Coturnix japonica: one gene and its partner. The main gene of each other region encodes a partner of the protein of the gene in region 2 in a complex. Links are inferred from orthologs where the notes say so. Each region holds a gene or a part of one and is shown on either strand. Other genes may lie near its edges.

The links. The genes of interacting proteins can lie anywhere in the genome.
Region 1: GTF2A1 (region 2) and POLR2C share a complex: the UniProt entries of both Homo sapiens proteins name them as parts of the TBP-based Pol II pre-initiation complex. The link is inferred for Coturnix japonica from reciprocal best matches to the Homo sapiens genes GTF2A1 and POLR2C.

The regions. Positions count from the first base shown.
Region 1 is NC_029526.1:1,904,333-1,906,778, forward strand, and holds the end of POLR2C (DNA-directed RNA polymerase II subunit RPB3), read left to right. Parts: exon of another isoform or gene 1-681; coding exon 682-756; exon of another isoform or gene 757-1,247; intron 1,248-1,418; coding exon 1,419-1,563; 3' UTR 1,564-1,917; downstream 1,918-2,446. UniProt on the Homo sapiens protein: Core component of RNA polymerase II (Pol II), a DNA-dependent RNA polymerase which synthesizes mRNA precursors and many functional non-coding RNAs using the four ribonucleoside triphosphates as substrates.
Region 2 is NC_029520.1:37,077,692-37,081,977, reverse strand, and holds the start of GTF2A1 (transcription initiation factor IIA subunit 1), read left to right. Parts: upstream 1-1,296; 5' UTR 1,297-1,549; coding exon 1,550-1,579; intron 1,580-4,286. UniProt on the Homo sapiens protein: TFIIA is a component of the transcription machinery of RNA polymerase II and plays an important role in transcriptional activation. TFIIA in a complex with TBP mediates transcriptional activity.

The sequences.
Region 1 (2,446 bases), on a different chromosome or scaffold from region 2:
TGGTGAGGCTTTACATGTCTGGGTGGCCCAAGGCAGCGCTGATGCAGATTCCTTTGGTGGCAGACTGGGCTGCATCCTCATGAGCCTGCTGTTGTGTGCAGTACCTGGAAACAGCCCTGGAGAGATTCTTGACAAAATCAGTGTCAGAGTTAGAAGGACCTAAAGAAGTGGTGATTGCTGTTGGAGCTGTGTGTTCCCTGATGATAATGGGTTTCTTTCCAAGTTCATCTTGCTTCTAGTGAAGACAATACAGAGACAGATGTCTCTGCTATCCAAGGATAGTTATTGTTTTGGTTTTAGTTTTGAGGCTGCTGGCAGAGTGCTGGAATGCAGCTGGACTCTCAAAGCAGACGTCATGGTGAAACAAGGTTCAGTCTCTGCCCTGTTTTCAGTAATGGACAGCGTGGCAAGTAACATGAAGGCTCATGAATGCTATATATTTGTTGCAGGTGGAAGGTTTTGTTGGAAAATGCAGTTTTATTGAGGACCACTGGTGACAGGACACGATGATCTTGGTCTCATTGGGTCTGAGGGAGGCTGGCAGGAGACTGTGGTGGGCATGGAGTTTTCTATGCTGGCTTCTCAGGCTGCTCAAGGTGGAGGAAATAGAAAGGGCTACATTAATGTGAACTTTTTTTCCATGATTTGATCCAGTGCTGACCTTCCCTGCTCTCATTCCAGGCCCAAGAGTGAATACTCAGAGATCGATGAGGAGGATGCTCAGGCTCCATATGACCCCAATGGGAAGCCCGAGAGGTAGGAAGCTGGATGTGCTCCCACTGCTGGGAGGAGGGGGATGGAGCTGGGTGCACTGCGTTTGCTGTTGGTGTGAGTTGGATGTGCTGCACCAGCGCAGAGAGCTGCTGCTCCCTGGAAAGCAAGGCAGGAGTTGCAATTAACTGGTGATGTGCCCAGGCCTGGCAGGTTTTGCCCTCTGGGTGACTCTTCAGAGTTCCTGTTACCAGGTAGGGCACTGCAATATTTGGTCAAGTGTCTTGGAGAGATGGCTTAGGGTGATGCTGAAGACACTGATGTCATCAGCAGTATTATTCACCCACGTGAGTCTCTCATGCTCTGATTGCTGCTGCTGCCCTCTCTACCAGGTGATAATGTGTTGCAGGAGTGCCTGCAGCCAGACAGCCAGTCTTAGCTTCCCCGTGCAGCTTTCACATCACATAGCTGAGCAGAGAAAGCCTCACAAGGGCTCTTGCATTTTGGAGGGTCGTGAGGGCTGCTATGAGCTCCATGGGAGTCTGTGGCTGCTGTTGTAGCAGGGCAGTGCTGGCTCATGCCCAGAGGGGAGCTCAGCATCTCCCTGCAGTGGGTCCTGGTGGGTTAGAGCTGCTGTGTGGGTGCTCTCTGGTTTTGTACCTCCTCACAGAACACTTGGTAACTTTCTCCCTGACTTGTAACCTCAGGTTTTATTACAACGTGGAATCTTGTGGCTCTTTGCGCCCCGAAACCATCGTTCTCTCTGCACTGTCTGGCCTGAAGAAGAAGCTGAGTGACCTCCAGACCCAGCTGAGCCATGAGATCCAGAGTGATGTGCTCACTATAAACTGAGGTGGCCCTTTGCAGGAGATTGTCCAGGCAGGAGTGATGCAGAAGGTTCCTGCCTCTGCCTGGCTGCACTCGGGGCTGAGGGATTGTCTCCTCATCTCCCTCTGCTTCTCCTGGTGCAGATCTGCTCGTTAGTAGCACTTCTCTTCCCAGAGAAAGCCATGATGACACGTAGGGTAAAGCAGGAGGAAAGTCTTTGCTGGGTGGGGGTGGGCTTTGTCTCTGATCCGAGTTTTGGACTGTGGTCACGTAGTGTTTGGGACTGGGAAGCATGTACCTCAATTACACAACCCTGTCCTGTTTGTATGTCTGTTCCTTAAGTGTACTGAATAAAGCCTTAACGCCTGTGTTCAGTCATCTCTGAAAGCTCATCTGGGGCTGCAGGAGGAGATAACACATCATTTAGTTCCCTCCAACAGACATTAACTTAATGAGGCCTGCTTTGGAGGGAGCGTTGCTCTGTAACAGCTGATTGCTGCTCTTGACCTACTGAGCTCTGTGATCTACTGAGGGTGCCAGAACCCCTGCAGCAGGTAGTGCTGGAACTGCCAGGGACAGGACTATGTTTAAAGCAGATGTTCAAGGCTGGGCTGCTAAGAGCCACATCACAGGAGGGAGGGTGGGCCAGGGAGACTTAGCTGTGTTTAAGGACTCCTTTGGAGCAGACTCTGCCCATGTGCTGTGTGCCATGGGGCTGGGCAGTGTCTGTCACTGGTAACCCCCAGCTGGCAGCTCTTTGCAGCATGCAGGGGCTGAGCTGGCTCTGTGCTTAACCAAAGCAGTGGCCAGAGGGCTCCAAGAGCTGCACAGTCACCCCTTCTCCCCTTCCTCAGCACCCAGGATGTGGGACAGGCTCCTTGCTTTGCTGAGAGAGTGTGAGCAGGAC
Region 2 (4,286 bases):
CTCTGTCCCATGTAATTTTTGTTGGAGCTCCAGCAGTATGTGCCATGAACAGTGGAGCTGGTTCATCAGCTGGTCCACTGTAAATCAATCACGTGCCTATAAAAGCTCTGCCTGTCAGAAGGGAAAGGAGGTGCTCGCTACCACAGAACTAAAGCATTTAGAAGTATGGAATGTGAAGGTCTCCTGTATCCACTAACAAATTAATTCTGGTCTTAGGCTACCAGACAGGAGTTTGTAAACATGTTGCTTGGTCTAGCTAGTAGGTGGGACTTCTGAATGAAGGTAACGTGTCAAATATGGTCTGTAGGGCATGTTGGGTTTTTTATTGTTGTTTGTTTTTGTTTTCTGTGGAGATTGATGTAACATAATACCTTGAGCATAGAGCTGGAATTCAGTGTTGCTTTTAATTTATGTTCGAGCAGGTCTTATACAGGTGGGTTACTGCTGGAGCTCTAAGCTGTATTCAGAAGTTATCCTAAGGGCTTGGTGAAGGTGGCAGCAGGGAAGTTAACTGATGGAAGGATCCTCGTAGTTGAGAATGCTTTCCTGTATTACATGCATCTTGCAGATTGCCATGGAGAAAGGGGATAAGCAAAGGGAATGGAAAAGGACGAAAAGGCAATTAAAAGGGCAAAAATGGAAGCCAAGCCAAACGGTACAGCCAGGAATTCTCAGTGCCACAGATTTTGTGAGGAACTGCTGAAGAGGCAATTCTGAGAGTGAGGGCCCACGATTCCTGTCACCAGACCAGGTAACAAGAGCTTGAACACTCCGGGACCTGGCTCTTGTAGCAGGGCCAGCTCAAGGCCTGTGACCAGAGGTACCAGCGCCTGCTGGGCCAGGCAGGGCTCTTGCGTACCTGGAACTGCACAGTGAGGGGCTGACACCGAGGAGCAAACCGCTCCTATAGACCGAGCGGACGCGATGTGCGTTCCCATGTCCCTCGCTGGCCTCCGGCTCGCTCCGGGCCGTTATGAGCTGCCGCCTCGCGGTGTGCAGCATCCCGCTGGGCTCATCGCAGCCGGCCGGGCCGCAGAGCAGAGGCGGGCCGCCCCCAGCAGCGCCGTGATTGCGGGCGTCGCACGATGGGACGGACTGAGGCGCAGCGCCCGGCGGGACAGCGCGAAGACTTCCGCCTCGGTACGCCGGGCGGAGCGGCAAGCGGGAGAGCGACCTCCCTGTGTACTTCCGCCTCACTAAGTGTCATGGCGGCGGGGCGGGCTCTTCACGTGACGGCGCCCCGCGCGGCGCGCTCTCGTTCGCTGCTCTCGCGGTATCTGGCCGCCCCCCCGCGCGCGTCCCCCGCTCGGTCTGGCCGCTCGCGCAGCTGCTCGGCTCTCGCTATATAAAGGGGCGAAGCGGGCAGAGCGGGCGGCTGGCGGCGGCGGCTGCAGCCCCAGGGCCGGCGAACGAGGCCGGGCCAGGCCGCGGGGCTGCCCGTGAGCCCGGGCGGGACGTGCGGGCTTAGGGGGGACGCAGCCGGGCAGGTTTATTGTTTTAGGGGCGACTCCCCCCCCCGCGGTTGGGGGCGTCCCGGGGGGCTCGGGACATGGCGAGCTCGACTAACACAAACCCCGTGGTAAGGACCGGGCCGGGGGGCGAGGGGGACCCCGCGGGCGGCGCGGGCGGAGGGGGCCGGCGGGGCTCGCCGCCCCCTCCCCCGCACCCCCGTCCCTCGGGCCGCCCCGGCCCCCTCCCCCCCGGCCCGCGGCGGGAAGGGGCGGCGGGGTCCGGGCCGCTCCCCGCGCGGCGGCGGCAGCAGCAGACAACTTGTGGCGCCCGACGCCGGGGCGGGGAGAGCGCAGCCGGGGGCGGCGGGAGTGGGGCGGCGGGAGCGGAACGGGGGGCGCGGGGCGGCGGCCCGGGGGCGGGCGGCGGACGGAGCCCCGCGGGGAAAAGGCCGGGGCCGCCCGCCGCGGGCCGGGGTCCGGCGGGAAGGGGCGGGCGGGCGGGTCGGGAGGGGGGGGGGGGAGCCGCCCCGGGAAGGAGCGAGCGCCGCCGGCCCCGCGCCCGACCGGGAGCGAGCCGGGTGTCGGGGTGGCGGTGGCCGCGGTGGCGGCGGCAGCCCGGGCTCCGCTGGAGCCATTTTATGTTGCTCGATCGGAAAGAGACGATGGTTGAAAAGCACTTGTCCCAGCCCCGCGGCAGCGGTCCGCCAGGCCCGGCCCGGAACTTTTCTGCAGCGAGCGAGGCAGTATTTATTTTACAAAGAAAACTCTCGCCCCCCTGTGTCCCTTCTCGTGCTTTCTGCACCTTGGCGGGCGGCTCGCTGCGGGACGGCTCGCTCCGGTTCGCAATAAGCAGTCACACGCACGGCCGATCCGATCGCCCCTCGGTCTCCGCTCCGTCCCCGGCGCAACCCCGGCCCCGACCCCCGCCCCGAGCGCCGGCGGCACAAACCCGGCGTCCGGCGGCAGGCGCGGCCCTGCTTGTGGCGCTCGGATCCATCATGGCTTCCCCTGCCTTTCTGCCTGCCCGCTCCTTGTGTTCCTCCTCCCTGCGGCCGCCCTGTTTATATAGAGCCATTGCCGCTCTCTAATATAGACTCTGCTAGGATGGGAAGGTGCTTTCCAGCCCCACGTCACCGCCTCTCCATTTAAACACCACATCAGCCTTTAAATAGGGAGAGAGCCGCCGAGAGCGGGCTGGGAGGTGCGTGCATCGCGGCGGAGGCTGCCGGCCGTGCTTTTTGTCGCTCGGAGCCGGGTTTGTGCTCCTGCCTCGCTCCGCACTCGGGGAGCAGCGGCACTGCCCACGGCTCTCGGTGCTGGGTGGCTGTGCCTTGCACGAAGAGGGCACCGCCATCCTCCCAGCCTTCTGAAAACGCTTACCTTCCCCCCCCATCCCAACCCCCCCCCCCCTTTTTTTTTTTTTAATTTAATTTTTTTTTTTCATTTCTTTTTTTATTTATTAGCGTGTGTATTTTTTTGTCCACAGCATGCAGCTCTCTGTACCCTTATGGTCTTCCATGGAGTTTTGCTGTTTTGCTGCTGGATGGGGAAAGGAGGATTTAGATGTTCTTATCCAGCATGGCAAGGAGAGATGCAGGATTTGTTTCATGGCAGTTGGCCAGTGTCTGGTACAGATCTTATACTGAAAGCAGCATTAATATTGAAGTTCTGTTTATTGGTCCTGGGCACAGATTGTGTGAACGATTGTTGTGTGCTTCTGGTAACTGAAGGTGATGCGGCACACTGATATTTTGGAAGATTTTGGAATTTCTGCTATTATTTGAATTAATTAGAATGTTCTGAGTATTACAGAGAAGTTTACAGAAGGAAATGATACAGAGTTTCCTTTCTAAATCCAAAATCTTACCTGTAACCTGGAGACATGAGAAGCAAGGAAGTAGCATGGCTTTGCTATTTTATCAGCTGTTCTGAAACAAAATGTGGGACAGCAGTGTGCCATTGCATGCAGGTCAGCTGCTGGTAGGATACTTAATGTGTGTGATCCAAATCTGCTAGCTGTTCTGCCCATGACCTGCTGGCTTTCTTTAACTGACAGGAAGGGTTCTTTGTCTCTACAGTAAGTTAGATGTTTCACGTCTCTTTTTCTACCAAGTTATTACCTAATAGGTAAATACATCTTTTTATTGAATAATCATCTTAGCACTTACAAATATCTTTGTTATAACAACTTGCTGAGGCTTATCAGTGCTGCATCTCTGTCCTAGCACAGCACAACTTCTGCTGAAAAGTGCTTGTGTTTGATCACAGTGTTAAGAATAATAGGAACTTAAAATGACCCTGACTCCCATTTTAGGTTGAATCCCAAGGAAACGGTACAATTTTGCAGCACTCTGAAAATCAGCTCTATTCTGTAGTAGTGATAACCATATGTACCTCAGAGTTGCAGAAGATGAGCAAGAATGTGTGGAAGTACTGCAGCCAGCTGGTAACTTCAGCAGGGCAGATTTTGGACCTGGTGTGTCATAGTAAGACATCAGCATCTAATCAAATCTGTCCTTCCCAGGAAGGGATGCACATACCTTATGTGGTATAAGGTTTTGTAGGTGACAAAGGTAATTACCTTGTAAAGGTGTGACAGGTGTCACATTTAATTGCTTACAGTGTAGCCTGTATGTGCTACTTCTTTTTCACTCTTCTTTGGTGTAATTGTGACTAAAAGTAGTTACCTCTGCAGCGTGGCATTCTCATGTCACACAGCTCCCATAGCTGTATTCCCACAGACAGGAGAAACAGATGGGGAACATTTCAGGGATAACTGCAGAAGTAACTAGGAGAAAACTGCTGTCAGATGCACAAGGCGTGCAGTGTGTATTC